Linked DNA regions of Canis lupus familiaris. The protein of the gene in region 2 interacts with the protein of the main gene of each other region in a pairwise test. Links are inferred from orthologs where the notes say so. Each region holds a gene or a part of one and is shown on either strand. Other genes may lie near its edges.

Region 1 (3,464 bases), on a different chromosome or scaffold from region 2:
TTGCTGTCTTCAGCTCCATTCAGTGGAAGTGAAAAGCTCAGAATGAGGCAGGACTGTTTCCTGACTCTGAAACTTGAGATGCTAACATTTGTCAGGAGTATGAGATATCAGAAGAGGCGAGCAAAGGAGTCTGAAGGCAGCTCTTTCCCTGTAGATCTTTCTGAACCAAACCAGAAAGGGGCATCCTACTTAGAAGTTAGGAGATAGAGGGCGATCTTCACAGCCCGTGGAGAAAAGGCAGTAAGTAGGACACAGTGGAGCATCAAATACAAACAGGTAAACTGGTGGAAAGAACCAGTAGCCTAGTGTTTCTTAAACCCTGGTGGACGTACAAGTGCCTAAGATGCTTAGACATAGCCATATTCAGGCAGAGAGAAAAAGGAGAGCAGGTGGATATGTTTCCAGGAGGTTCTAGGAAGAACTCTCCTCTCCTGGCAGAAACTTACCTCTGAGAGCCCGGTGTCAATCCAGCTGGGTGCCCGCAGGAATGAGGGTGGCCGAAGGTAGAAGGGGCTCAGGGAAGTAGAAGTTGGGAAGAGATCGGACTCCAACAGGTGCTCTCCGAAGAACTGGTCAAAGAGGCGGCTGGGGGAGTGGAAGGGAAAGAAGGGGCGGCGGATCCAGGGGTGGTGGATGGCGATGTCCATGGTGGCTAGGTTGAGTGGAGGGGGTCAGCTGGCTGGTCAGCTCCTTCAGCCGCAGCTACAGCCAGCCCCTTATATACGCAGTCTTGTGAAGCTTCTGGAATGGTGATGTCAGGAGTTTTATTATCCCAGCTCACCACCCGTTCATGGAGACTTGTGATCAGGGATTTGGCAGTGTGACACATACCCAGTACTCACTGAGCTAAGAAAAGAGAAATACAAACACGTCTGAGCTGGCCAGTGACTTGTCCTGGTCCTGTTGCACTAGCTTTCCGTCCACACCCAGTAGTGCCCCCCCACACCCCCTTCTCTGGAGTTGGGAGGGAGTCAGGAATCCCAAGCAGGCGGCTGTTGTGCCCCTCCTCCTCCTCTCCAGCCTAGCGTGCCAGGGGAATTGGGCCAGTGACTATCTTGGGCCTGGGCAGGAACTGGAATCTTCCTAGGCTGGGCCCCAGGGACATTAACTCTTTATGGGTCCCTGGAGGAGAGCAGCCATCACCAGCAAGTCAGCGCCAGGCAGATATCTGTGTGGCGCCCGGGCTTGACCCTGGTTCAGGAGAGGACCCTGACATTCGTCTGGGCAGAAGACCCTTCACCCCACTCCAAAAAAGGGTGGGAAAGTTTCTTGCATCTTTCACCTTACACGGCGGCAGAACGTTAAAACCGGGACAGCTTTGTGCAGTCGGGTGTAGGGTGCCCGGGACTTAGGAGGACAGAGGGAGGAAATGTGGAAAATGTGCCAACGGTGAGGGTGAGGGTCGCAGCTAGGCCGCTGCAGGGCCTCGGGACCGGCCTCCCGCGGCAGCTCGCAGCTCGCAGCTCCAGCTCGCTGCCCAGCCAGGACCCCCCGCTGTCCCCTCGGGCCGCCTGCGACAGCTGCAGGGCGTGCGGGGGGGGGGGGGGGGCGCGGGGGTCCAGGCAGCGCGGGTCACACACTTGTCGCTGGCGCTCAGGGGCCCGGCCCCCGCCCCTCCCCCACCCCGGGCTCCGCACTATTTTGGGTGGTGTAGACCCCGCCCCCACCTCGGACCGAGCCCTGGCCGGCCCCGCAGCTGGAGGGGTCGCTGCTCTGTTGGGGCTGCAGCTCGGAGCAGAGCCGCCGACGCCTCGCAGCCATGTCGGGCCGCTCGGTGCCCCACGCCCACCCGGCCACCACCGAGTACGAATTCGCCAACCCCAGCCGCCTGGGCGAGCAGCGCTTCGGAGAAGGTATGGCACAGACGCCACCCCCGGCCTCCCGCCCCCACCTCCTGAGATTCCGGGCTGACCTCCCGACAGTGCTGGCCTCCACCCCACTCCGGGCTTAACTGAACTCCTGGGGCGAGCCGTCTCCCACCCGGACCCCCCCCGCCCCCGCCCCCGCCAAGCAGGGCTCGGTCCCCTTCCCGCTGACCTCGGGGCAGATGCCCGGCCCTGACCCCCTGGCTGGGCCCGTGCTCCCCTCTGTCCCGCGGTCCCCGCCCGGCCTGCCCTCTGCACCCCCATCTCGGCCCCTGGCCCCCTCCTGCCCCCCCCCCCCGCCCTCCCTGGCCCTCACCCCTCGTCCCCGGCTCATCCTGCCTCATCCTGCCCCTCAGGCCTCCTGCCCGAAGAGATCCTGACCCCCACCCTCTACCATGGCTACTATGTCCGGCCCCGGGCCGCCCGCGCCGCCGAGGGTAGCAGGGCAGGGGCGTCTGAGCTTCGGCTCAGCGACGGCAAGTTCCAGGCGTTTCTGGACGTGAGCCACTTTACGCCCGACGAGGTGACCGTAAGGACTGTGGACAACCTGCTGGAGGTGTCTGCCCGGCACCCCCAGCGCCTGGACCGCCACGGCTTCGTGTCCCGGGAGTTCTGCCGCACCTACGTCTTGCCCGCCGATGTGGACCCCTGGCGGGTCCGGGCGGCTCTCTCCCACGATGGCATCCTTAACCTGGAGGCACCTCGGGGTGGCCGACATTTGGACACGGAGGTCAATGAGGTCTATATCTCCCTGCTCCCTGCACCTCCCGATCCAGACGAAGAGGAGGAGGCAACCAGGGTTGAGCCCTGAGTGTCACTGAGCCAGCACCCAGCGAACCCCTTTCTACCCCCCGCGGTGGTATGAGCAGCTGCCCACCGCCCCAGAGGTAGCCGCATCCTTGGGGGGAGGGGGAGAGTGCATGGCCCACAATGTATGGTTTGGTCCCTTGAGACATGTCATAGCCTTTGGTTTAGTTCTGGGTGGAGCTGAATAAACCCAAATCTCAGGGCCTTGTTTGTGCTGCTCCCTGTTCTGTGGCCTGGACGATGGGATGGGCAGGGAGGGAAGAGGCCATAGCCAGCGAGACAAAAGCTCCTCCGTTAGATGTGCCCCACGTCACAGCACCCTGAGCTCACACTTGGATGCTGAGATCATACCCGGAAGCTGACACTGGCTCCAGATCAAATTCCTAGCTGTAATTTTCTCACAATGCAACAAAAGAGAGAGTGATCCTGGGAGGGGAAAGGGATATGCCATCCAAACAGCCCAGAGGGCACTGTCTGAGCTGGTGATTAGAGACACAAAAACAAGGGTCTCCAGCCTGTCTGGCCTGTTTCGGGTAGGGGTTGGGAAAACAGTGTTAGCTGGAGAGAGTTGCCTAAAGCCCTGTTTTCCCAGAGTAAGATCTATCCACTGAAAATGGTCCCTGATTCTGAGCGGTGGAGGCATACACAGGGCACAGACACAGACGCCTCTGCCATTGTCACCAAACCACCAAGTGTCTCCAACCTGTGCACAGGGTCTATGAGAGAAAGCATCTGTTTCTAATCTTGGAACATCCCAAAGAGAGGAATCACTTAGTCCAAGACTAAATGCAG
Region 2 (3,807 bases):
TTCTGAGAATTCTGATTCTCATGACTGTACTAGAAATCAAAAAGTGGAAGGTTGGAAGCTTCTGGAAGGCTGAGTCTGTGGCTCTGAGGCTTTACAACTGAATCTGTAATTTTGCATTACTTATAGTCTGAGATTTCAAGGTCCTACACCTCTGGAGTCCTAATAGTCCTTGGTCCCAAGGCAGTCAAGTTCCAAGACTGATCCTGCAATTCCACTGGGTGTTGCCACTCCTCACAGGCTGCCCAGGGGCAGTGCCTACCTGAGGGCCATGCAGGAGTAGGAGTAGCCCACAAATGGCAGGTGGACTCCCAGTGGCATGCCTTCCCGCATGTCAGACAGCGTCTCCTGTACAAGAGAAACACAGATGTGGAGTGACCGGTGTTCGTCAGGGCTGGTCTCCTGCTCCTCACCCCACCCCAGCTTGGAGCCTATCTGAAGTGGCCCCTCCCTCATTTTCTTTCAATATATCCTATAACTTCCCTCGGGACACTCTCCACACTGTAATTATATACTTCTCTAGGCTGTAAGTGGATGAGGGTGGGACCAGGACTGGCTCGGTCCCTGTGTGTCCCCAGCAGCACCCAGCACAAGGCACCCAAGCTGAACACACACTCAGGATAGCTTGTATCACAATTGAGAGAAGGCCTAAGAGAGATTTCTCCACAAAACAGTGCTCTCCTGCCTCTCACTTCTCATCGCTCCAGGTCCCAGCTCAAATAACACCTCCTCCAGGAAGCCCTCCAAAACTTTCCATGCTGAATCCAGGAGCCCCACCCCCTGCATTCCCCCATCTCACCTCTGAACTCTCTGGGGAGTCATTGGGGACCAGTCTATGTTCCCCACTAGACTGTGAACCCAGGTCATCGCTGGGTTCCCAGCGTGGGGCAGGTCACAGAACAGGTGCTCTGAGGGAGGAATGATTTCAAGACCCGAGGAGATGGGTACTATTCTAACCCCAACTTTATGGGTGAGGGATGGAGGGGGGATACCCTCTGCCCAGCAGGGGTTGCAGGTACCTACCCCGCCCCCGCTCACCATGGCAGTGAGCCCATCTTCCACCACATCGAAGTTGCACGTGTCAGTGGCACCCTCAAAATCCGGCGTAAAAGGGGGCACGCTGTCTCGGAGACCGTCCCAGTCAAGGCCAAAGAAAAAAGGATGATTCTGGAAATCACCTGCTCCGTCCCGGCCCAGCCGCGTCTCAGGGGGACACAGCAGTTGCTGGATGAGGTCTCGAGCCTCCTCAGGGACCCCCGCATCGACCAGCGGCAGAGACAGGTGCTCCTGCACGAGGGAGAGGGAAGGCGGGGGACGTAAGCCTGGCAGTACATGTGGAGGGAGATCAGGGGTTTCTCTGGCGGTCCTCACCTTATAGTGCACGATCTTGCCGTAGGTCTCAGCCGTGGAGTCGGCGTAGAAGGGCGTCTGCCCGTAGAACATCTCATAGGCGAACACTCCCAGCGCCCACCAGTCACACTCCGGCCCATAGCTGCCCATCCCAGGCCCACCGCCTACGGCCTGCAGGATCTCGGGGGACAAGTAGTCCGGAGTGCCCACAGCCACCAGCGACCGCACCTGAGCCAAAAGGTCCACAGCTGGGCTCGGCCCCGCCCCTCCTAGCCACGCCCCGAGTGCTTGGTCCCTCCCCTGGCCTGTTCTTTTTTTTAATTTTTATTTATTGGGATCCCTGGGTGGCGCAGCGGTTTGGCGCCTGCCTTTGGCCCAGGGCGCGATCCTGAGGACCCGGGATCGAATCCCATGTCGGGCTCCCGGAGCATGGAGCCTGCTTCTCCCTCTGCCTGTGTCTCTGCCTCTCTCTCTCTCTCTCTGTGACTATCATAAATAAATAAAAAAATTTTTTTTAATTTACTATTTATTTTTATGATAGTCACACAGAGAGAGAGAGAGAGAGAGAGAGGCAGAGACACAGGCAGAGGGAGAAGCAGGCTCCATGCACCGGGAGCCCGACGTGGGACTCGATCTCGGGTCTCCAGGATCGCGCCCTGGGCCAAAGGCAGGCGCCAAACCGCTGCGCCACCCAGGGATCCCCCCTGGCCTGTTCTAACCCCGAGCCTCTCACCCTCTTTCCCCCTCCACATCTGATGGGGCCCCCACCCTAACTACCTGTGCGCCTCAGCCCTGCCCCCGCACTCTGCACTTCCGGTCCCCCCACCTGAGCCCACTCCTCACTGGGGGCCCGAGTTGCCTGAAGCGGGGCACCGCTCACCGTTCCATCTGCCCGCAACTTGAGGCAGGAGCCGAAGTCGGCCAAACGGATGTGGCCACACCGGTCTAGTAGGATGTTGTCGGGTTTGATGTCCCTGCGCAAACGGAAGGTAAGGGGGAAAAGTGAGCCTCTCCCATCCATCTCACCAGGCTCCACCCCTGCAGGCCCCACGGCCAAGGTCCTCCCCTCTTAGGGAGACCCTGCTCTCCAATTGTGGCCTCTCAGGGCCCTACCCCTCAACCCCCCTTAGGGGATTCTGAACCCCACTCCTCGGGTCCTGTTCCCAGTAGACCAATGAGTTCTCCCCCCGGGCCCCGCCCCCTCTGGGCTCCAACCTCTGCGGTACCCTGCCCCCCACCCGGGTGCAACTTCTGGTTCCCTCTCTGGGCCCCGCCCCCCAGTCCCCGCCCCTCAGCCCCTGCGGCGCCCACCTGTGTACATAGCCCAGCCGGTGCACTGAGTCTATGGCCATGACAATCTCGGCCAGATAGAAGCGCGCCATTTCGGCCGGGATCCGCTCCCCAAACTTGCTCAGCAGCGTTAGCAGGTCCCCGCCCACGTAGTACTCCATGACCAGGTACTGGCAGGGGGCGTGTCATGGGGGGTCAGTCGCACCCCTCGGCACTGACGGCTGACAGCCCGGGACAAAGACTGCCGCAGATGCCCCATCCCTGGGCAGGGATCCCGCAACCCCAGCTCCTAGAGAGCCCAAGAAATCTCCCAGGCCAAATCAGAGACACACACCCTCCCCCCGCAAAACCTAATTCTCCCAGGATGTCACTAGACAGGGAGAGGGGAAAAAGCCCAGAGAGTTCCCAGTGGCCAAAGTACAGAGGCTAGATACCCTGCCCAGGGCCCCCCATATAGATTGTAGAGAGTTATCCCAGTCCAGGTAAGAGATCCTCCCCCCCGACAGTGGCATCTTTACAGGATCCCCCAGAATCAGTCCAGGAAAAAAACAGTAAGGGACATCTCCCATCCCAGGAAAGGAAAACCAATTCCCACCACACCCAGAGACACCCGCAGCCATTTGGAGGCAGCTCCCAAAGCCTAGAACTTCCTCTCCCTGAATCTGCCTGGTTCACTGTCAGCCTCACTGACAGCGTCAGGACTAGGTCGGTCTCCCTAGTCCCCCCTGGCCTGAGGCTCACCAAGTAGTTCTCGTCCTGGAAGGCGAAGTGCAGCTCCGTGATCCAGCGCCGGTCCCCGTTCACCAACACGTCCCTCTCTTCGCGGAAGCACGACACCTGCGGGGCACCCAGAGGCACTTAAGTGGCAGGGAGCGGGAGCCAGGGTGGGTAATCCTAGCGCCCTGCACATCCAGCCCTGGCCCTCACCTCGCCTCTCTTCAGCATGTCCCATTTATTCATGATCTTCATCGCATACACCTGGCCCGTCTGCTTCATCTTCACCACCGCTACCTGAAGGCCGAAACGGGGTGACTGGGGGGGCGGAGATGGCAGGCGCAATCCCCGGGCTCGTAGGAATTTTTCTCCGCCCCTGACACAACCAAGTCCTGGCCCCGCCCCACGGCTAACGCCACGCCCACGACCTCAAGCCCCGCCCCCGCCCAGCTGGTG

What was found.
Region 1: the proteins of DMPK (region 2) and HSPB2 interact in a two-hybrid assay, tested with the Homo sapiens proteins (2 studies listed by BioGRID). The link is inferred for Canis lupus familiaris from reciprocal best matches to the Homo sapiens genes DMPK and HSPB2.

The regions. Positions count from the first base shown.
Region 1 is NC_049226.1:21,212,752-21,216,215, reverse strand, and holds HSPB2 (heat shock protein beta-2), read left to right. Parts: upstream 1-1,651; 5' UTR 1,652-1,759; coding exon 1,760-1,853; intron 1,854-2,221; coding exon 2,222-2,676; 3' UTR 2,677-2,876; downstream 2,877-3,464. Other genes in the region: CRYAB (alpha-crystallin B chain), read right to left, coding at 447-647. UniProt on the Homo sapiens protein: May regulate the kinase DMPK.
Region 2 is NC_049222.1:110,539,321-110,543,127, reverse strand, and holds part of DMPK (myotonin-protein kinase), read right to left. Parts: intron 3,649-3,807; coding exon 3,565-3,648; intron 3,475-3,564; coding exon 3,379-3,474; intron 2,808-3,378; coding exon 2,659-2,807; intron 2,322-2,658; coding exon 2,228-2,321; intron 1,576-2,227; coding exon 1,369-1,575; intron 1,285-1,368; coding exon 1,021-1,284; intron 346-1,020; coding exon 260-345; intron 1-259. UniProt on the Homo sapiens protein: Non-receptor serine/threonine protein kinase which is necessary for the maintenance of skeletal muscle structure and function.